Linked DNA regions of Arabidopsis thaliana. The protein of the gene in region 1 interacts with the protein of each later gene in a pairwise test. Each region holds a gene or a part of one and is shown on either strand. Other genes may lie near its edges.

Region 1 (5,829 bases):
TGACATTTCCATTAAGAACTCTAATTTTCCAACTTGCTTTGAGAAAAAGGTATTAAAAGGATCGATCCATACCAAACAAATCACATGAATATCTTAGTAAGTTTAAGATTTGACTATATGGCATCTAACAGACTATTCACTGAATATGTTCATTTGGTCTTAATTTTCTGATTTCGAATATTTTTGCAGTCATCATATATTTTATATCAAAATGGGCATTTAAAGCCCACTGTTAATTTTTAATTTCATTATAATGGCCTGCTAGATTCACTTGCAACAATCTATATTCGATGGGCCGAAACTAAATAAGCCCAAGTAAGAAAAAATTAATGTTGACAGTGGGATTTGAACCCACGCCCTTTCGGACCAGAACCTTAATCTGGCGCCTTAGACCAACTCGGCCATATCAACTTTTTGATAGTAAAATTTCAAAGTATGAATATAACCGATTTGCATAGATTTAAATGACAGGGACATGCCCTAAAATCCCTTGGTCCGATTAATAGCCTTCACTTCACGGCAAGTTCACGCCCTAAAAAGTAAAAACTGCGCTCGAGAGACGAAACCGCTATCATCTTCTTCGAGAACTTTCTTCTTTGACGCATCGTCTCCTTCAGGTCACAGTACCTCTCAAGACAATGGAGTTCTGGGGTAAAAATCTCCTATCTTCCTTCTTCTTCTTCTTCGTTCTCTGCGCTTCGTTTCCTGCATTTAGGTTTTTCTTTTTTTAAAAAAAATCTTTTGGTTTCATCATTTTTCTTCGTTTCCTACCGTTTCTTCTATGTGTAATCGTCAGGTTAGCTAAACGTGAGACGAGATTACATGAATACTGGCTATTGAATTTGTAATTAGTTTATAAATCTGTTATAAACCGGTACAAATTCCTTCAATCAAGACACAAAACATACCCCAACAGACAAGCAAAGGAGAAGAAGAAGAAGAAGAAGAAGAAGAAGAAGAAGAAGAAGAAGAAGAAGAAGAAGAAGAAGAAGAAGAAGAAGAAGAAGAAGAAGAAGAAGAAGAAGAAGAAGAAGAAGAAGAAGAAGAAGAAGAAGAAGAAGAAGAAGAAGAAGAAGAAGAAGAAGAAGAAGAAGAAGAAGAAGAAGAAGAAGACAGAGAGAGAGAGGAAAGAGCTTTTGCATTCGTACCTGGGACATAAATGATTAAACCAGACAGCTTCAGAGAGAAAAATCCTTTTAAAGAAACATTGTTCCACTTCAGACCTGCAAAAATTTTAATTACTCAAGCAGATAAAAGCATAATTTTGTGTTATATATCCTTCATAATCAATGTTATTAGACCCTGGATTAAGTGAATAAGAAAGGAACAATCAAACTCATCAATATTATATATATGTATAAAGAGTGCATTCAAAATGAATAATGAATTAATAGTTCACCCGATAAGAAACGGGTTTTTGGTCTAAACTATATATGAAAAGATCCTAAGGATCATTCATTGGCGTATTATCATCATCATCACCAGTTGGCCAGTTGAATCCAGTCTCTGTGATTCCTGCAGCAAATTGTTCCCAGCAGACATCAGGCAAACCATCACTTGTTGTTTCTGCAGCAAAACCAAACTCTGAGACATCATTATAGTCCATTGTGTTTCCCCATGCATCGGTGTTGCTGAAACTCGGTATTGTAGTATCGAAACCCATGCTCCATGTCGTCTCTTCTTGTTTAATAAGTCCTTCAGGAGATGGGAAGGACATCAAGTAATCTGGTTTGCTCATCTCTTCTTCTGATGGATACATCAAGTTCTTGCCTTTTGGATCGCTTGAAGTCATCCCTCCTAAACCCTTGGTGTTCTCAGTCTCTTCGTCATACATTAGCAATCTCTCCCAATCATCAGCTTCATACTTCACCACCTCCCCTCCTGTTGGAGAATCTTGAGGCTGCTGGTGGTGCTTGATGAACTTCTTTCTCGCCTTTTCCAATCCAAGAGCTCCTCCTTTTTCTTTTCCTTTGAAGTTCTTCAGGCGTTCCAAGAAACCCCGGTTCTGAAACAACTTAGCCAAGAAAGAGAGCAATTGCTTCTGACGTTGCTCTGCAGCTTTCAGCCTCTGGTTTACAGTGTCCACATGTCGAGCTGTGCCTCTGCTTTGCTGCTGAAGCTCAACCATTTCCTCCATCAATGCACGCCGCTCTTTCCTCAGCTTCTCAATCTCTCCTCCAACCTCAGTAGGTGACCCTTGGCTTTGGCTAGTGCTACTGCAGCAAGTTTGGTTGGATTGTGGTGATCGACGACGATGAATGTTCTTCAGAAGATGCTTCTTGCCTCTAAGGAAAGCCTCGTTAGCGAATTCCCACTTGTCAGTATCAATCTTTCGAAATCCCTGGAAACATTCCAACCCCAAAAAAACAACTCAAACAAGCTCAAGATAAAGTAAGTAAACACATTTACATCAAGACAAGACCAAATATCTCAAGATATTAGAAAGATTCTACCTCTGAAGTGTGAAGAACATGTGAGTAATGATGTCTTAAACCAGACTGAAGTTAACATTGTGAGAAAATAACAAAACTTCATAAACCAAAATTCTCCATTCAAACGAAACCATAAGTATACAAGATTACAAGCTTATTTCAGATGAGAAGTTATTATAAGATCCAATCGAGGCCAAAATTTCATAGATACAAAACTCAGTGTTACATGATAGAGAGATTAAACAAATCCCAAAAAGAAAAGAAAATTACAGGTAATTTTTTACAAGTTATCAAAAAACGAGTTTCAAGAATCTATACAAAATGGTTTTGGTCATCAAAAAGATTACAGAAACATAAAAACAAAACAAAACTGAAAGAAGAAGAAGAAGAAGAAGAATGAGTCTATCTAGAAAACAGAAACAGAGCAAGAGAGATGATTACATAAGTGTTAAGCTGTCTGACGAAGCTGGAGAAATTGTTGTGTTTGAAATTCCTTGGAAGTATGATTCTGGCAAACTCTAGAGGATCCCAAACTACGAAGCTAGCTCCGGTCAGTCCCCAAGAGATGACCGGGTCAAGAGTCGGGTCATCAACCAAATCAAAAGTCTTGGATAAAAAAGGTGGAATTGGATTCCCTTGTAAGATGTCTAGTGGCATGGGAAGTGGTGACCCAGAGAAACCCATGTCAGTGTCGACGTAGAGAGACCCGGGTATATCGGATCGTCTCGAAACGGGTACTGAAATTGGAGTTGGTTTAGAAACAGCATCTTTTTTTGGGCTCATTTGATATAGTAGAAAATTTACGGGTTTTAGTGAGAGAGAGAGTGAGAAATTGGGGTGTGTGTGATAATTAGGGGGTTTAAGAGAAGAAGGATGAGAGGTTTAATGGTTTATAAAGGTTTAGGGAAGGAAGTAACCGACAAACTGTAGTCAGATAATTGAAAAAAATCTGGGGAATAGAGAGGCGGTGGAAATGGGTGGGTCAGTTCCCGCCACCGTGGATTTATCTTTTTCGTCATCATGTTCCATTGATTCATCAGTTTAGAAGAAATTTGGAAACTTTAGTGACAAATAATTGTACAACCGACATTGAAATTGAAAGTTGTTTCCTTGCAGCTTCACTTAGCTCTCTCTCTCTGTGATTTGGTGAAGGAGAGAAAGTGGTGACGATGGTGGGTCCCACGTCATCTTGAGATTTTTGAAAGGAGGAGTGATTTAGCGCGTTTGCCAGGTCAGCTTTCTAATTTGGAACTGGGCCCTCACAAATCACTGATTCGCTTTTCGTGTTTCCTTTTTCAGAATTTAATATTGTATAATTTTGATTTACGCAATCCTATTGGTTACCGATCCATCAAACGATTAATTCGGAAGACAGGTAAAGTCGTTTTCAAGTGTGGGAACTTACTTAGACGCGAAGGCAAAAATAGTTGACTATGTATCTAGATATTTTCAGTCCCAATGCGTTTTTAACGATTTGGGATTATATTCATCTGTATTAGAGTCTCCGAAAGTTACAGTCTTATTTCATTTCTGTTGGTTTATAGTCCAGACTAATCGCACAGTGAACAAATGTAAATCCAATGAATCATATTGAGTTTGCAAAACCCTTTGACAGCATTTACCAGCTGCTCTTTTTTACCTTCGCTTAGTAACTAATTTAGCGGTATAAATGTACAGCAATGTAATTAAATATAGCTTTCAGTGCATTGCTACAAAGACATAACAACAAAATATTGCTTACCCTTTGGGACTAGATAGATAGATTATATCCCTCACATTGTTTCCATTACTACATTTTTTTTTCCTCCCTGTGACAATAGTCATGTACATTTTAACAATCTGCAACATTAAAAAGGGAACAAAACAGCAGACAAAGATCGCAAAAATAATACATGTATAAAAACCATGGGATTCTGTAGGATATGATTGATAGCTCATGAGGAATGTACCTTTAAAGCTATATCTTAACTAGTGTCTCCCTCCTGGGCAGCAAAAGAATGCTGAGAGTATATGTGCATATCATGATTATAACAACTTTTGAATGGACCGGGGGTATTTTACAAATCCGAGCGGTTGGGCGGAGGAACCGCTGATTTGATCAATGGTCTTAGCAAGTCCATTATAGTTGCAAATGATGGACGCTTCCATGGCTCACTGGTAATGAAACACATACATAAACATGAAGTCTATTCAAGAAGAATTCAAAAAAGAGATAGAAAATCTTAACGTACTTGGTCCAACAACCCTCGATTATGGCTGCAACCTGAGGATTCAGATTACGCGGGATCTCCAGCCGTTTACACTTGAAACCAACCGCAGCTACAACCTATGGAACATTTTTTTGTATGATCATATATAGCATGTTATGAAATGTAGAGTGAGGGACTTCCAAATGCAAAATAATATCATTATTATTTGAGATGTTTAGAGTGGAAAGTACCTGAGCCGGATTTAAGTTACCCCATGGTTGTTGCAATGTAGCAAGCTCCCACAAGATGACCCCGAAGCTGTACACATCTGACTTTTCATTAGACGGCTCATCTCGCAGGACTTCTGGTGCCATCCACTCGGGCTGATATATCAAAGTCAGTAATTATTTAGCTTCCATTGGAAATAGGACCTAGAAGAAAGTTACGTTGTTCAGCGTGTTTTAGTTTCAAACAAACTGAACTTACGGTTCCAGCTGCTGACTTCGAGGAAAGAAACGTGCTGGCCTTCAATCGCGAGAGACCAAAATCACAAACCTGAAATTTCAAGACAAATTGAGGAGTTAGAATAATAATGTTCTGATTGTTTTTAAGACGACAGCTTGAGGCTGCTGTATCTTTTAAGTTTCAGCAGATTAACGCCTTTTTGTAATGTCTCCAAACCAATTTAGAATTAAAAATCATAATTTATATATAAGCTTGTCTCACAAGAGGAATAAAATATCAAAATCAAAACATTGGACACAACAATTTCTAATTTAGATTCAAACCTTGACTGTATATTTTTTGTCAACCAATAAGTTTGGAGATTTTAGATCTCTATGCACAATTGGAGGATTGCGATTGTGAAGATAATTCATTCCCTTAGCCTGTGACAGAGAATTGGAAAGAAAGTTCCATGTGAAGAAACACCAAGATCAGGAAGTAATCACCCATACATGTAACATAAGGAATTAAACATACCACATCATAAGCCATACTCAGGCGACGTCTCTCATCTAATTGCTCCCTTGCTCCACTTTTATGCAAAAGTCTGTATAAACTACCTCTGTTTGAAAGAAATCATGGTATTAGAGTCATTATAGGCCAAAATTCTACACTCAGTACATCAAACCTTCCAAATCCAAGTAATTGTACCTTGACAAATATTCTGTCACTATTGACAAATTTGGAGGTTGAGTGACCGCACC
Region 2 (5,208 bases), on another chromosome or scaffold:
ATTTTTATTTTTTATATTGGGAAATTGTTTAGAATGCAGTATTAATATGTACATAATATATTATGGTTTATATTTTGAATTTAAGATGTAAATTGATCTTTTTAAAAAGAAAAAATAGAGTTTAAATATTTACGAAGAATGGATATTTACTGAATTTTTAGTTAAATATAAAAGATTTTATATTGTACGAGTTTAATATATAAATAAATTGGGTTTGGTTTCCCGATGGGGAAGAAAGAAAAATACACTCTCTTTGTTTCTAATAAATTGATGTTCTACCACTTTTAACTTGTCCCACAAAAAAAACATTTTCGTTTTTTCTTTATTTTTTTTAAATATCACTCACTCCTTTCTAAATTAGTTATGTTTTAGAAATTAAATTTTGTATTAAATTAGTTATCGTTTTATATTTTCAATGCATGTTTTTGAAAGATTTTCCAAAAGAAATTCTTATTGTTTTGGCTGATTAATTGATGATATGATATTAAATAACACATTAATTAGAGATAAAACAGAAAATTCAATGTTTTTTTAGTTTGTCTGAAAAACCTGAACTAGTAAAGTTCAAGATAAAATGATTGAAATTTGTTAGACTGCTATTGGTTTATAGTTATTGAAAATGTTTAATATAACAAACAATACAGAAATGATTAATTAATGACTGTTTCTTAATATAAAAACCATCACTCTTTTAGCAACAAAGAGAGTAATCATGTTACGGAGATACAAAAAAAACATCGGTAACTTAACAACATTTGAAGATTAACCTATTTAGTGAAAACAAAATCTATCTTTTATATCGGATATCTCCAAAACCCTGACATTTTCTATTGTTTCCAAAAGAGCAAAATTAATTTTTAAAACTTTTCCACTTGTGATTGCCTGATAAAGACAAAAATTATACTTCGACGCAGTTGCCATTTGGTTTTGACTTTTATACCAACCCAGCCTTATTTATACCAATTCGATCTCATCTCATTTTGTTACCAACACATCTCAAGTACACTACAATACAAGTCATCTTCTTAACCAGACAAGAATCAAATAAGAAATAACAGTTTCAAATTAAGTGCGTTCTAACACTCTATTCTATCTTCAGTTTTCCGGGCTTTTCTGGTGTGGAAGAAAATGTTTAATTGATCAACGAAAAGCAGATTCCTCACCTCCTCCAATTGTTTCCGGCTTCTCTCCATTTCCAAATCCAATTTCTCGAAATGAACAATCCTATCTCGGATCTTCTTCATCTGTTAATCCCAAATTTTGTTTGTTCCAACATAAATCATCATTGAGTATAACCATATAATAAAAAGTCTATGGAAAGTTGCAGATTGTTACTAACCTCAACTTCAACAGTCTCTTTGATTGCTCCTTCTACCTCATGCTCTTCCTTCTCAATTAAAGACTTTGCATCTGCCCAAGCTCTTTCAGATTCGTTTCTAGTGGTTTCACCACTCGATGCAGCATTGGCATCTGTGTATCAGGAAAACAAAACTGTCACTATTGGGTTTGGCTTAGGACAGAAATGGACTGCAAATAGAGACAGCTTGGTCTTTGATACCTTGTCGATTTGGGTCTCTACTGGCGTTTTTGTCAGCCTCGTAGTCTACATCAGATAAAGCTCTCACTGCCGCTCGAGCTGCTGCTTCTGCAACATTTGTGCCAGCCAAAGCTGAAAGAAAAGCAGCCTGAAGAGGACATGATAGGATAAATCTTATTCAGAGACAGCCAATGAAGCATAACAATTGAGGTGTGATAACACAGTACAGAATTATCTAACACATATTTGATTCTTAAATGCCTTATATATGTCAACTAGGGTTTGTTATTACTAGATTTCAAAGTAAGCCCCACAAGGTATTCTAGATTTAGGTTCTTTAAGGAGACAAAAACGCAAGTCGTGGAACAGCCTAGTGCAGACACTGGACTATTCTTCAGTAGCCTAACAATGTAAAAGCATTTCCACGCATGTTGAAGACTTATACAAATAAGATTAACATAGAGAGAGAACGCAACTACTCAAATTGTAGTGTCTTTCTAACCTGAGCCATTATTGGGTTGCTTGCATCTGCAAGAGGTGTTAATTTGATCCGCTTGTTGGGAGAAGAACCGTCTTTATCTATTCCTTCAGATTCAGGAATATCAGAGTCCTTGATCTGATCAAACATCTCTAAACCATCCTCAGAGTCAGACTCTTTTACAAACTGTTCCCCAAACGGAAGCTTGACAAACTGAGAAACACAATCCTTCTCCGTTCTACCAATAACATGCGATGCAACCTTCTTCCAATCATCTCCATAGTGCATAACAGCTTCCAGCAGCAGCAGAATTTCCTTATCAGACCACTCTGGCTTTGACTCCTCACTAATCTCAACTCGTTTAAACTCCGAGGAGTTAATACCAACACGATAATTACTACGAACATAGCACCTCGCACACAATGTCAAGTCATACTGAAAACAAAAATGTACATAATCATTCTAAGTGACAAACTCAGTGAATGAAATTATTACTATGGCTACAAATTATGAAATCAAACCTTATCACAGGCGAAACAAGCTATGCTGCAAATTGCTTTGCAGCCATTGCAGTTTCTCTTGGCAGTTTCTTTGACAGTTGTGGCTGGCTCAGAAGCAGCATCTCCGGCGGATTTTCCGGCCTCTTTTTCTTCCCACTTGAGCGGCTTAGCAGAGGCGGAGCTATTATAGTTGATAAGTCCCCATGAATCGAGGAAATCAAAGACGCGACGAATAGAGACAACATCACTGACGAGAGTTCTCCGAACGTCAGTGAAACTAATCTTCCGAGGATGGTCGTCTCTGTACTGCTTAATAATCGAGTTCCTCAAGTAGAGATAAAACTTAGGGTTTTTGGATGAAGATCTCGAATCGAAAAATTCCGGCAGTGACCGGACCTCGCAATCGTTAATGTCGGTCCATGAAAACCAACCTAATTGGTTAAATAGACGGTACAAGTACAAAATCCGTAAGAAACAGTGAAGAAAGTAGAATAAATCAAAGTTTTCTCGGCGTTGCAGACTTACTGGAGTAGCTAGGTACGTGAATATTATCGATATCGGAAGAAGAAGACGGCAATTGAGCCGACTTAGAAGCTGCTGCGGCGCCTCCAGACGTAGTTTCGGAAAGAGAGGGAGTGCTCGGGAGAATTTCCCCAGATCCGCCGGGATCGGGAGCTTTCATGGCCATGACTCTCTGTTTAACTAACGCAACTTCGCCGGAGAAGGAAGAGGGAAAAGAGAATCTAGCTATCGAGATGGGCAAAGTTAAAAAAAAAGTCGGATATCTAAACGGGCCTGGTTTGGGCCCTAATACAGGTCCATTAACCTGGCTTTAGTTGTTAAATATTGCGAATGTTTTTTTAGTCCCATGGTCAGCCAAGATGTAGTGCATCTGCTACGCTAGGCTTAGAGGTTAATTCGAATGGTGAAGTTGTGCGTTACTGATTTCATGTATTAATGGTGAAGTTATCCTTTGTAAGTAGGTAGAAATTGGAACGTATCAAAGAGATATTGGAACATAGTTATGGAAGGAGTAATTGTAGATTGGTCATAAAAGTAATGGTGTCTAAGAAAGTAACAAAAACTCAGAAGTTCATGATGGAAAATATGTTGCACAACTCTTATTCTTGAGTAAAAGATGAAAGAGCGTGTGCAGATAGGAACACTTAACACATGGACCCAAAACACTCATATGCTATTCGTTCCCAGTTTTCAGTCCACAAGCTTAGCTTTGCGGTAGCTCTCAACAGAATCCACAAGTGTTTCCTCCAACGGCCGGTAAGTCCAACCCAACTTCTGCAACTTCTCTGAACTCACCTTCACTTTTCCATCCGCTTCGATGTATCTGATATTGGATAAGTAGAATTTAGATCAAAGGTAAGGTCTAAAAGAAACTTCAGAGACATTGATGTAAAGGTAAGTGACACTGTTTACTGATGAAAGTAACAAAAACAGCTTATTAAGGTTTAAAGGTTTTCACTCAAATTGGGTAGAGAGATGTGCAGCTGTTGTTTGCTTACCTCTTTGGGTAGTTGTAATTTAGATAAAGACTTTTCAGCTTCTCAGCGACTTCTTGTTCCCTAACCGTGTGGCCTATGCAGATGTACCTTCCTTCAGCTTCTGCTTTCTCATAAACCAAAAGTAAAGCTTGAGCCACATCACGCACATCTACCAAATGCCGTTCTTGGTTATTACGCGATTCATAACCCTCTGCACCACACTTAAGTATAAAATCAATACCAACTCATATACCAAGTTGCTGCTTCTAACAATCCCAGATGAAATGAGAGGCTTGTTTATAATACCTTTAAGAAGCTTGAGAAGAACAAGGCTACTAGCATTTACTGTGTGCTGCTGCAATACAGGTCCCAAGACAAGGGTAGGGCAAACACTGACGAGATCAAGTCCGGTTCGTTTTGCAAATTCGAAAGCTTCACTTTCTGCTCGTGTCTTTGACAAAGAATACCAATTCTGCCAGAGGGACGAAAGTCAGATTTAAAAGAAGAAAAAAAAGTGAGATGAGGGATTCAAGATGCATTATTAACCTCAGTTTTTTTGCAATAATCTTGGTCAGACCAAGCGGTCTCATCTAACACTTGACTCTTTGACCACATAGGGTTCATAGCAACTGCAGATACAGAGGAAACATACACAACACGCTTAACTTTTGCTTCAACGCATGCCTTAAGCACATTCAGCGTACCATCCACTGCAGGTGCGATCAAATCTACCTGCAAAACCAGTGAAACCATAGTGAGACAATGCATATAGCCACCAATGAGATTGTAAAAATGAAATCCTCACCTCAGGATTAGGGACTGAAGCAGATGGAACAGGGCAAGCGACATGGAAGACGCCGCTGCAGCCAGCAATAGCAGATTGAAGAGAGCCGTAGTTGAGCAAATCAGCCTTGAAGAGCTTGAGTTTGTCACCAGCTTTATCAAGCTTCTTCAAATGAGCATACTTTTCATTACCTATAACAAGAACCATGCGAAACTCTTCATCAGAACAATAGACAAACTCAAAAGGCTTAATCTTCTGTCTGTAGACAGAAACATCGGAGCTACAAAAAGAATTGGGAATAGAAAACCTTAGAAAGTAGACGAAAGAATCAATTTTGACCAGGCTGAGCTACAAAAATTCGATGAACTAGAAATGCGAGAGAATAAAGGTTGACAATTTACAGAGGGAGA
Region 3 (4,616 bases), on another chromosome or scaffold:
CAAAAGTCGTGGAAGGTCATCGTAGGTAAATTATTTGTGGTGTCGAATGCATTCAATTTCATGACAACTAAAAAGGTGGTGTTAAGAATAACCAAACCTGTGATTCTATATAACCATTATTGGTCTATATCTGATTTGAATTTGCAGATACCTTGGATATAAGAAGACAATCCTGCTTGACCGTAAGAGACTCGTGGAGCTACTAGACTTACATCACAACAAGACCCTCACGTGGGATCAGTTTGCAGTAGCAGTCAAGGAAGCCCATGAGAGACGAGCAGGAGCACCTACTCATCGAAGAGTAATCTCTGACAAACCTAAGGAGGAAGATTACTTCTACGCAAATCCTCAAGAATGTCTTTGTGAAGGTACAAATTGCCACGACCTGTTTGGCCATAGAAATTTAACACATTGAAGTCATGTTTTTAGCATATTATATCTCATTGCTTCCGCAAGAGGACGGCATGTCAAACACTTGAACGGGAGCTGCATAGTTCCTTCCCTGAGTTTTTCCATTTTTGTTTGTAATTTTTTTCAATTTTCCTGCATAGTTGCTGATCTTGATTTATTTAGTTTTACGTAAATTAAGATGTAACTAAAAAGAAGATTATGTCTCATCTTATAGAATTTCAAAAAGCCTGCTTTTGGCAATAGCCTAACATACAAATTGTGGTCTCTCAACTCTGATGTCTTGAGGTTGATTCAAGTCTATGTGGTCTGAGACCAAACCAGTAAAGATTTTCTTTCTAGCCTTGAGTTTGTTCTGCAGGATAAGCTATACAAGCTAAGCTAATTCTCACTTGGTTTCCCAGAAGATAATATCCCCTTGTTCGCCAACCAACCCAAGATCTTTGAGCCTTCTCTCTTGGTAATACTCTAAAATGTCAAGTTCAAGCTCTCTATCCTTGAAGATTTGGTCGATTTGCTGAAGCACTCTCTTCTCACCAATCCTTATCTTGAGAGCCATTTCCAACCTAGGCTCAAGCTTTCCTTTGTCCAGAAGCTTCTCATCCTACAACAGACGATGAAGACGAGTAAGAAATGAGTGTTAAGCTGCAAAGACAGTACAAGTAAGAGCTCGAACATATATACCTCTTCAATGGTCGTATCAAAACCAGACAGAGCAGATTTGCAGGCATCTCTGACAACACGGCATATGAGTTCCTCGTTTGTACGACTTACAGGCAATTCAAGATGACCCCATATGGTGTTATTGAAGATAGATTCTAATAAGAAAGCATCTGGACCGCCAAGAGCCACAAGCCGAAGGTACTGAAGCATACCAGCGGGAAGAGTCTGGCCGTCTACTATGTCAAAGTATCCGGTCTCACCCATCTTGTTACTCTCAGCAATATCCAACTTATCCCCAAAGAATGGGTCTGATTCTGGTATCTCTATTGTTAAAGTATATGAGTTCCGTTTAGGGTTTGATTCCACAAAACCATAGTCGAGAGCAAGTTCTGCATTGCTTTTGTTCAGATCGTACTGAATGTATACCTATGGAAGAGATCATCCAAACAGTATTAAAGGGCTTGTTCTTACACTCTTGAGGGAGAAAACTAAGTAGACAGTGTTTGGAGCATACCTGCTCACCTGCTTTAACATAAACAGGTGACTTCAAGGAAAATAAGAGATCTCTAGAGAAAAGGCCGGCTCCTTTGATCTCGTATGCATAATCTTCTGTCTTTATCGCGGGGTTATGGTTTATCTGTTCAAATTCAAACATTGAAGTCAGAGATTCTCTGCTGAGCCAAGCATCAATGAATGAAGATTATTTTCTGAAGTTTTCACTAGACAATATCTGAAACAAGAAGATAGCTTGCCAAGTCTGCAAGAGGGATCAAGACAAGGTTTTGGCCACGGAGACGAGAAAAAGCCCTCGACTTGAGGATCCCAAACGCCCATATGAAGTCATCAAGTGTTATGCGGGATGAGAAGAGATCTTTGTTAGGCAGTAATATCTCTTGTTCCAGTTTCAAGAATTCATTCTCCACATACTCTTTCACACCCAATGTGGTGCTCAACAGTTGAGTCCCTGAGCCAAACAACAGTAACCACAAAGTTAATAATGTACATCATCATCAGCTACTGCTACTCAGACCAATTGGTATGAATCTAAACAATGATCAGACTTTTCAAAGAAAAGGGTAAGAAAATGGACCTTTAAGCTCAGCAAGCTCCTCTTCTGACCTGTACTGGAGACATTTCACGAAGAAGACATCTCATCAGCTTAGTGTTGATCAGAGATACAATTGATGATCAGAGAAGGACAAAACCCACCAGAAGACAGTAGAATCAGTAGATTGAGGAAGCATATCAAGATAAACTCTCCATGAAGACTCTTCTTCATACTTCTCTCTGATCAAAAACAGAGCTACTGAAACCCACGGCTTTAATCCGCCGCATAAAGGTCCAATCTTGGAAGCAGTCACTGTCTCTGGGTTTATCCACAATCGCTTGGGAATCTCCAATACGACCTCGTTTCTTCCAATATCACGCCTGGCTACAAGTCCCAAACCTTCCGGTACCACCGCAGGTTCTGCCACAGACTTCCCGGATACGACTCCTTGGTCTCTGAGCCATTTCCAGAAATTCCGAACATTTTCCGGCAACTCTGAGCTTGAAGCTGAAATGGGTCTCACCAAAGATTTCTTGGGTCGAGAAAAGAGAAAGGAAGGGTTTTGAGACTTTTGAATTGACGGGATACGGAGAAAACCCGACACGACGGCGACGGAGGCTGACATGGTGGTTTTCCGATGGCGGGTAGTATCAGTGAAACAGAGAGTGTGTGGATAACAATAATATCACATCAGTTTTTTCTAAGTTGTTGATGAGACAAAAATCTAGTTATTCTAGTTACCAATGTTAAAGGCCCATTATTCTAAAAGGCCAAGGCCTACATTTTATTTTTGTTCTGATGTAATTAAATTGTTAATTGTCTGTATTTATTTTCATTTTTAAAAAATTATCTTTTTAACTTATGGTAGCTTCAACTTCTTTTTCTTTTTTTTTTTTGTCATCTCAACCTTTGTAAGAAGAAAAATGGTCAACTATAGCTTCAACCTCAAATCTACTGACTTGACACTTGAGTTTTAAATAGGTAACATCTCATGGAGATCCCAATATTCATTCTAAATTCCTCCAAGATAATGCAACATGTTACAACAACAACAACAACAACAACAACAACAACAACAACAACAACAACAACAACAAAAGAGATTGGCCGAGACATATATGTAGTATGTACCCACCATATCACACATACCTTCATAATCATCATCATCATCATAATATCAAGTGGTCTAATTCAAATGTTTTTGATTTAATTATGTGTTTAAGTAGTTCATATTTAATTGTGTGCTAAAATACTTATTGTAATTGAAGAATCAAATATACAAGTCTTATTCACTATTCTTAATCAAATAGAAATTAGTCTTAAATTTGTAATTTAGGGGGTACAATGATCCACTATTCTCCATCAACGTAGAAGACAAGTAATTTACTTTGTAATATAGGTAATGGTACGTACGTAGTAATCACATGTAAAAGCGGAACTTTCCTTTCTCTTGTTTTGCCGGCTTGACCACGGGATATGAGACCAGTAAGGTACATGTGTAATGTGATACCTATCAGAAACCCTATTACACTCTTATCAAAAAACAAAACAAAACCTATTACACTCTCTCGGCTTAATTAAGATTATGATCAATTCCAAATATGTTTCTGATATAACTTTAATTATTAACGAGAAAACCAAAGTTTATTGCTACTTTTTTCCGTCGAAATGGCCGCTATTTTAAGTTTTAGACAATAACTTGGTCCATGAAATTAAGGTACAACGTCGATATTGATTAAGATCAGTTTACTTTTGCTAATATAACGTGTTAAGTTTGAGATGGGAGACACGTGAATGACTTTTCATTACTTTCAAAAATTGTTCAAAATTCCAAAATTGGCAACAAGACTGTTTTAGTTGTTAATATGCAATTAGACTGTTTCAATAGAGTGTATTTTTCTTTGTCAAAATGTAATAAGTACTAATTTGTCATACAAAATATCAAATGTCAAGAACATAAACTCTTCTAACGGAACCGCTTGTCGCGCCGAAACTCGTGTGGTAAACCTGAAAAACAACTCACTAATCGCAATTTTAAATCAGAGACTGAGAAAACACTTCTCACGAAAACCACAAAACGCGGTCAATATCGGGATGACGACATGATGTGGTGGTCGGATTGACACAATTCAGGTTGGTCAACAAAATTCATCCCTCTAAAATATATTTTCTTAGTTCGTTGCCAAACAGATATCTTACCTTTACTCTTTTTTTTTTTTTTTTAAAAACTCATATAAATAGGATAGTTATTAAATTTAACTACAAATGGTATTGTATATGTATATTCTATGGCTAGGTGAAAAGGCTTCCTTTAGTTCGAGAAGGTCAAAATGGATGGCTAATTAACTTTTATATACAAACAGTATATGCCTAACATTTAATAAGGAGAGACTCAGATTCCTTGTCAACTACTCACTATTGTCTCCATGACTCTTTAAAAAATATATTTTTATAGAATCTTAGTATTCAGAAATTAAACCGTAGCCTTTATAGGATA
Region 4 (4,884 bases), on another chromosome or scaffold:
TGAAAAATGTCATAAAAGAGCCTGAATTAGACAAATGGAGTTTATACCTAGGTGGTCTCTTCCCTCTCCCATATCATCACTTCTGGTTCCCCTTATTGGTTATTCTGACAAAAACTTATCTCAAAACAGGAACCTGGGGATACAACACTGAGAAAGAGAGAGCTGAAGCAGCAGGCATTCCCAGGATTCAGGTTATTGAGCTCTCCACGTTTAGCAATAAGCTTAAATGAGTGCATATACTCATTGGAAAAGAAACAAAGCTTTCCTCTTTATTGTATTCTACGGCATTCAACGGAAACTAAAAACCAAACATGTTTAGGTAAGATTCAGTAAAAGAGTTGAACTTTCAGTACTACCCATTATAGAAGCTTTTCTGTGACCTATAATTCATCCTTAGTAAGATCATTCTTGTTACCATCACCATCTTCGTGATCTTTCCTTTGCTCAGCTTGAAATTTGTCAAAGACATCTTCAAATGGAGGATCTCCAGGTCTTCTAAACTCTTGCTTCCCTATCTTGACCTCGTAAGCTTCTTCTTGGCTCAGCACGAATTCCCTTAGCTAATTGAAAGATATGATTGTGATGTTAGATTTTGACTAATCCACTAAACAAAGTTTTCAGCATTGTGTGTTTTCTGTGGCTTTTACCTCAGTCACAAGCTTCCCATTTTGCATATTGAACATCACTGTGCTTCGATCTACAGCCATGAATCTTACTCCTATCCCTCCTGTTCTTAAAACTTTTGTCCATTTCATAGCAATATCAATCACCACATCCTGATTGAAACATATAAACAGATCACTATTCAATCCCCTGAAGCAACTGGACCCATATCGAATTCAGAGAATTTTGAACAGTAACTGAAACTATAACTTAAGGACCCCAAATTCACGATTCGATTTGGATTTTAGTTTACCTTGGTACGGGGGACGCCTAACCGGAGCTTGACGAAACCGACGACGGTTCCAAAAGTCCGTTTAGCCATTTCCTCTTGGATCTGATCGAATCCCATATTGGTGAAATCCGGAGGCGGATCAAATTCCGGGGTCGTTGCTTTCTTCCCCCACTCTTTCCATGACTCGTCTTCTTCATTGTCTTCAACGTCGTCTAGGTCATCGGAGATCTCGATCCGTCGCTTCGTTGCTTCGGCGATCCGGACAAATCCGTGAAAATTCATAAAAAGAAGGAGGCCAACAAGTAGAATCAGCGAAGAAGAACGAACGATCTTCTCCATCGTTTAACAAATTTATTCAGGAATCAGAAACAGAGGAAGAGAGACTGCATCGGCAACGGCATTTCTATATCAGTAAAGCTTCTACAAACTCGCACACAAGTCACAAAACCATAATAATGTGACTTTTTACTTGTTTCGGGAAAAAAAACTATTAACGACATAAACTGAACCTGCTGGTTCAAAACTGTTCGCCGTTTTTCTATCTTAAAATAGAACTGCGTGCCAACTATTGACGTAAAGATGGCAAGCATATCAAGGCTGAAAGATGAAAACGACACGAGGTTGCACCGTAAATAAAACAAGGGTAATTGTATGATTCTCTCTAATCTACTACTGCACTACAGAAGGTAAAACTAAAAGTCAAAATTTGTCTAATTTTAAATTCAAATTAATTAATCAAGTAAAACAAACATAAGTCTAATTTGATTTCCAAATTTGTTTTTTTTTTTCTTTTTTTGATTTCCAAATTTGTTTATAGTAGTATCATTTTAGTATTCTTATTACCCAATACGGAAACAAATATTTGAAATAAACATGGAAAAATTAAAAGTCATTCCATTTGGTTAACAAAAGGAACGTTTGGTAAATTCACACGTGTCTCATCGTCATTTGTGCAACTGACTTGTATAAGGAAGGGTACTTGTGGTAATAAAAGCGAAAACCGAGGGGTGGCCTCGTGAAACGCATTTTCCGTGTTCCAACTGTATCGAGGCGTGGGACCTACAATCAAAAATAAAATAAAATTAATGCCCCTTCCAAAAAAAAAAAGAAAGAGAAAAAAAAGAAAAAGGGAAGTAAGAAGCCAGCTAGGGTTTGACTGCGAGAAATTTCTGATCTGCGTGAATTTCTCAAAGAGAGGAATCGATCATCGATTCCGTGGATTTCGTTTCCCTCCCTTTTTATTTTTATTTTTCGAGAAGCCATCTCAAAGGATCTGAGTTTATACCGTTGCATCCCCCGCGACTTTCGTTTTCCGATTTCCCCCAAATTCGATGCAAATCTAAGAAGAGAGAGAAATAGAAAGGTGTGTGCGCTTCAACCGACTCAGTGTCTCTCTCTCTCTCTCTCTCTCTCTCTCTCTGTTGCTATTTGAGGTTTTTTCCTTTGCCTCGGGGGCTCTCGCTGTCCGAATTCTTTTGTAGGGATTTATTGGGTAGGGTTTTTCCACTTTTTTTTTGTCTTCTTCTACTAGCTTCGTTGTGCATTGGGTTTAATTGTTTCCAGTGTAGTGACTGTCAGATTCTTCGACCAATTGCATGCAATCTGGAGGCAGTGGCGGAGGGCCCGCTCGGAATCCGGCCATGGGTCCGGCTGGTCGGACTGCTTCCACGTCATCCGCTGCTTCTCCTTCTTCTTCCTCTTCATCTGTGCAGCAGCAGCAACAGCAACAGCAACAGCAGCAACAGCAACAGCAGCTGGCGTCTAGGCAGGTAAAGGATTCTCAAGTCTCTGTTTGGTTCGTTATGACTTAGGAGGGATAAAATGCTTGTTTGTAGTGGCTAATGTTTGTCTGTTAAACTTGCGGCTATTCAATTTTAGTGGGACTTGACTGTTTATCAATTCTGTGTAAAAGGAAAGTAACCAATATCTTTAAATTGAAGTTGTGTAATGGTAGCCACTTGGAGAACATGTTTTGTTCATTTCCACATATATATATAGTTGCTCTGAATTGTGGATTATTGTTCATTTGATTGTTACTAATTATTATCGTGCTTCTGATATGGCAGCAGCAGCAGCAGCACAGAAACTCAGATACAAACGAAAATATGTTTGCATATCAACCTGGTGGGGTTCAGGGAATGATGGGCGGTGGCAACTTTGCTTCGTCTCCGGGCTCTATGCAAATGCCTCAGCAGTCTAGAAATTTTTTTGAGTCTCCTCAGCAACAACAACAACAACAACAACAGGGTTCTTCTACCCAAGAGGGCCAGCAAAATTTTAATCCAATGCAGCAAGCGTATATTCAGTTTGCTATGCAGGCTCAGCATCAAAAAGCACAGCAGCAAGCTAGGATGGGAATGGTGGGTTCATCAAGTGTGGGAAAGGATCAAGATGCACGAATGGGAATGTTGAATATGCAAGACTTGAATCCGTCTAGTCAGCCCCAGGCCTCATCATCGAAGCCATCGGGCGATCAGTTTGCTCGCGGTGAAAGGCAGACTGAATCAAGTTCTCAGCAAAGGAACGAAACAAAATCTCATCCTCAGCAGCAGGTGGGTACCGGACAACTAATGCCTGGAAATATGATAAGGCCAATGCAAGCACCACAGGCTCAGCAGCTTGTCAATAACATGGGAAACAACCAACTCGCATTTGCACAACAGTGGCAGGCAATGCAGGCATGGGCGCGTGAGCGTAATATCGATCTCTCACATCCTGCCAACGCCAGCCAAATGGCACACATCCTTCAGGCAAGAATGGCTGCTCAACAGAAAGCTGGTGAAGGCAATGTGGCCTCACAGTCACCATCTATTCCAATCTCTAGCCAGCCGGCTTCATCTTCGGTTGTTCCAGGTGAGAATTCACCACATGCCAACTCTGCTAGTGATATCTCTGGGCAGTCAGGATCAGCGAAGGCCAGACATGCATTATCTACTGGCTCATTTGCCTCGACTTCCAGTCCCAGAATGGTCAATCCTGCTATGAATCCCTTCTCCGGCCAAGGGAGAGAGAATCCAATGTATCCTCGACATTTAGTTCAGCCTACAAATGGGATGCCCTCAGGAAATCCCCTGCAGACTTCTGCAAATGAGACTCCTGTTTTGGATCAGAATGCATCTACAAAAAAAAGTTTAGGTCCTGCTGAACATTTGCAAATGCAGCAGCCTAGGCAACTGAATACACCGACTCCAAATTTAGTAGCGCCATCTGATACTGGTCCACTCAGTAACTCGTCCCTTCAGAGTGGACAGGGGACCCAACAAGCACAGCAGCGATCAGGATTTACCAAACAGCAACTCCATGTTCTCAAAGCCCAGATACTGGCATTTAGGCGTTTGAAGGTTTTCAGCTCTGACTTTTTCCTTATGTCTTCATTTTTATTGTATGTTTTGCTGGAGATGTATGCCTATAAATAACGTGTCTGCAAGCCAGGTTGAATGTTTTTAATTGCTTTTTTTTGACAGAAAGGGGAAGGTTCTTTGCCTCCGGAGCTTCTTCAAGCTATTTCTCCACCACCGCTTGAACTACAGACGCAGAGGCAAATATCTCCTGCCATAGGGAAAGTTCAGGATAGATCTTCAGACAAAACTGGAGAAGACCAAGCAAGGTCGCTAGAGTGTGGCAAGGAGTCTCAGGCTGCTGCTTCTTCAAATGGACCAATTTTTTCTAAAGAGGAAGATAATGTTGGAGATACAGAAGTAGCTTTGACGACAGGCCACAGCCAATTATTTCAAAACCTGGGAAAAGAAGCTACTTCTACTGACGTGGCTACGAAAGAGGAGCAACAGACTGATGTATTCCCTGTTAAGTCAGACCAAGGAGCAGATTCTAGTACTCAAAAGAATCCTAGAAGTGATTCTACAGCTGATAAGGGAAAGGCTGTTGCATCTGATGGAAGCCAATCTAAGGTTCCTCCACAAGCAAACTCTCCCCAGCCGCCCAAGGATACAGCCTCTGCCAGGAAATATTATGGACCGTTGTTTGATTTT

What was found.
Region 2: the proteins of HSFA3 (region 1) and SWI3B interact in a two-hybrid assay, tested with the Arabidopsis thaliana proteins (one large-scale study listed by BioGRID).
Region 3: the proteins of HSFA3 (region 1) and LSMT-L interact in a two-hybrid assay, tested with the Arabidopsis thaliana proteins (one large-scale study listed by BioGRID).
Region 4: the proteins of HSFA3 (region 1) and BRM interact in a two-hybrid assay, tested with the Arabidopsis thaliana proteins (one large-scale study listed by BioGRID).

The regions. Positions count from the first base shown.
Region 1 is NC_003076.8:970,469-976,297, forward strand, and holds HSFA3 (heat shock transcription factor A3), read right to left. Parts: upstream 3,859-5,829; 5' UTR 3,216-3,858; coding exon 2,874-3,215; intron 2,342-2,873; coding exon 1,445-2,341; 3' UTR 1,160-1,444; coding exon of another isoform or gene 927-1,159; intron 706-926; 3' UTR 674-705; downstream 1-673. Other genes in the region: AT5G03710 (replication factor C large subunit), read left to right, coding at 639-651, 927-1,159; CTR1 (Protein kinase superfamily protein), read right to left, coding at 4,490-4,586, 4,664-4,758, 4,873-5,004, 5,108-5,176, 5,410-5,508, 5,603-5,687, 5,777-5,829. UniProt on the Arabidopsis thaliana protein: Transcriptional activator that specifically binds DNA sequence 5'-AGAAnnTTCT-3' known as heat shock promoter elements (HSE). Involved in heat stress response. Activated by DREB2A under heat stress.
Region 2 is NC_003071.7:14,227,018-14,232,225, reverse strand, and holds SWI3B (switch subunit 3), read right to left. Parts: upstream 3,255-5,208; 5' UTR 3,204-3,254; coding exon 3,041-3,203; intron 2,947-3,040; coding exon 2,537-2,946; intron 2,451-2,536; coding exon 2,040-2,450; intron 1,686-2,039; coding exon 1,559-1,685; intron 1,471-1,558; coding exon 1,340-1,470; intron 1,245-1,339; coding exon 1,077-1,244; 3' UTR 818-1,076; downstream 1-817. Other genes in the region: CRL2 (NAD(P)-binding Rossmann-fold superfamily protein), read right to left, coding at 3,728-3,860, 4,036-4,225, 4,321-4,486, 4,561-4,746, 4,820-4,989. UniProt on the Arabidopsis thaliana protein: Component of a multiprotein complex equivalent of the SWI/SNF complex, an ATP-dependent chromatin-remodeling complex, which is required for the positive and negative regulation of gene expression of a large number of genes.
Region 3 is NC_003070.9:4,804,697-4,809,312, forward strand, and holds LSMT-L (Rubisco methyltransferase family protein), read right to left. Parts: upstream 2,822-4,616; 5' UTR 2,745-2,821; coding exon 2,281-2,744; intron 2,191-2,280; coding exon 2,162-2,190; intron 2,036-2,161; coding exon 1,824-2,035; intron 1,709-1,823; coding exon 1,586-1,708; intron 1,498-1,585; coding exon 1,093-1,497; exon of another isoform or gene 1,013-1,092; coding exon 797-1,012; 3' UTR 610-796; downstream 1-609. Other genes in the region: AT1G14020 (O-fucosyltransferase family protein), read left to right, coding at 1-25, 148-415. UniProt on the Arabidopsis thaliana protein: Protein-lysine methyltransferase methylating chloroplastic fructose 1,6-bisphosphate aldolases. Can also use with low efficiency gamma-tocopherol methyltransferase as substrate, but not a cytosolic aldolase.
Region 4 is NC_003071.7:18,920,814-18,925,697, forward strand, and holds the start of BRM (transcription regulatory protein SNF2), read left to right. Parts: upstream 1-1,719; 5' UTR 1,720-2,387; intron 2,388-2,463; 5' UTR 2,464-2,490; coding exon 2,491-2,664; intron 2,665-2,961; coding exon 2,962-4,236; intron 4,237-4,359; coding exon 4,360-4,884. Other genes in the region: AT2G45990 (ribosomal RNA small subunit methyltransferase G), read left to right, coding at 1-51, 130-230; AT2G46000 (LDL receptor wingless signaling/trafficking chaperone), read right to left, coding at 381-560, 648-776, 917-1,234. UniProt on the Arabidopsis thaliana protein: ATPase subunit of a multiprotein complex equivalent of the SWI/SNF complex that acts by remodeling the chromatin by catalyzing an ATP-dependent alteration in the structure of nucleosomal DNA.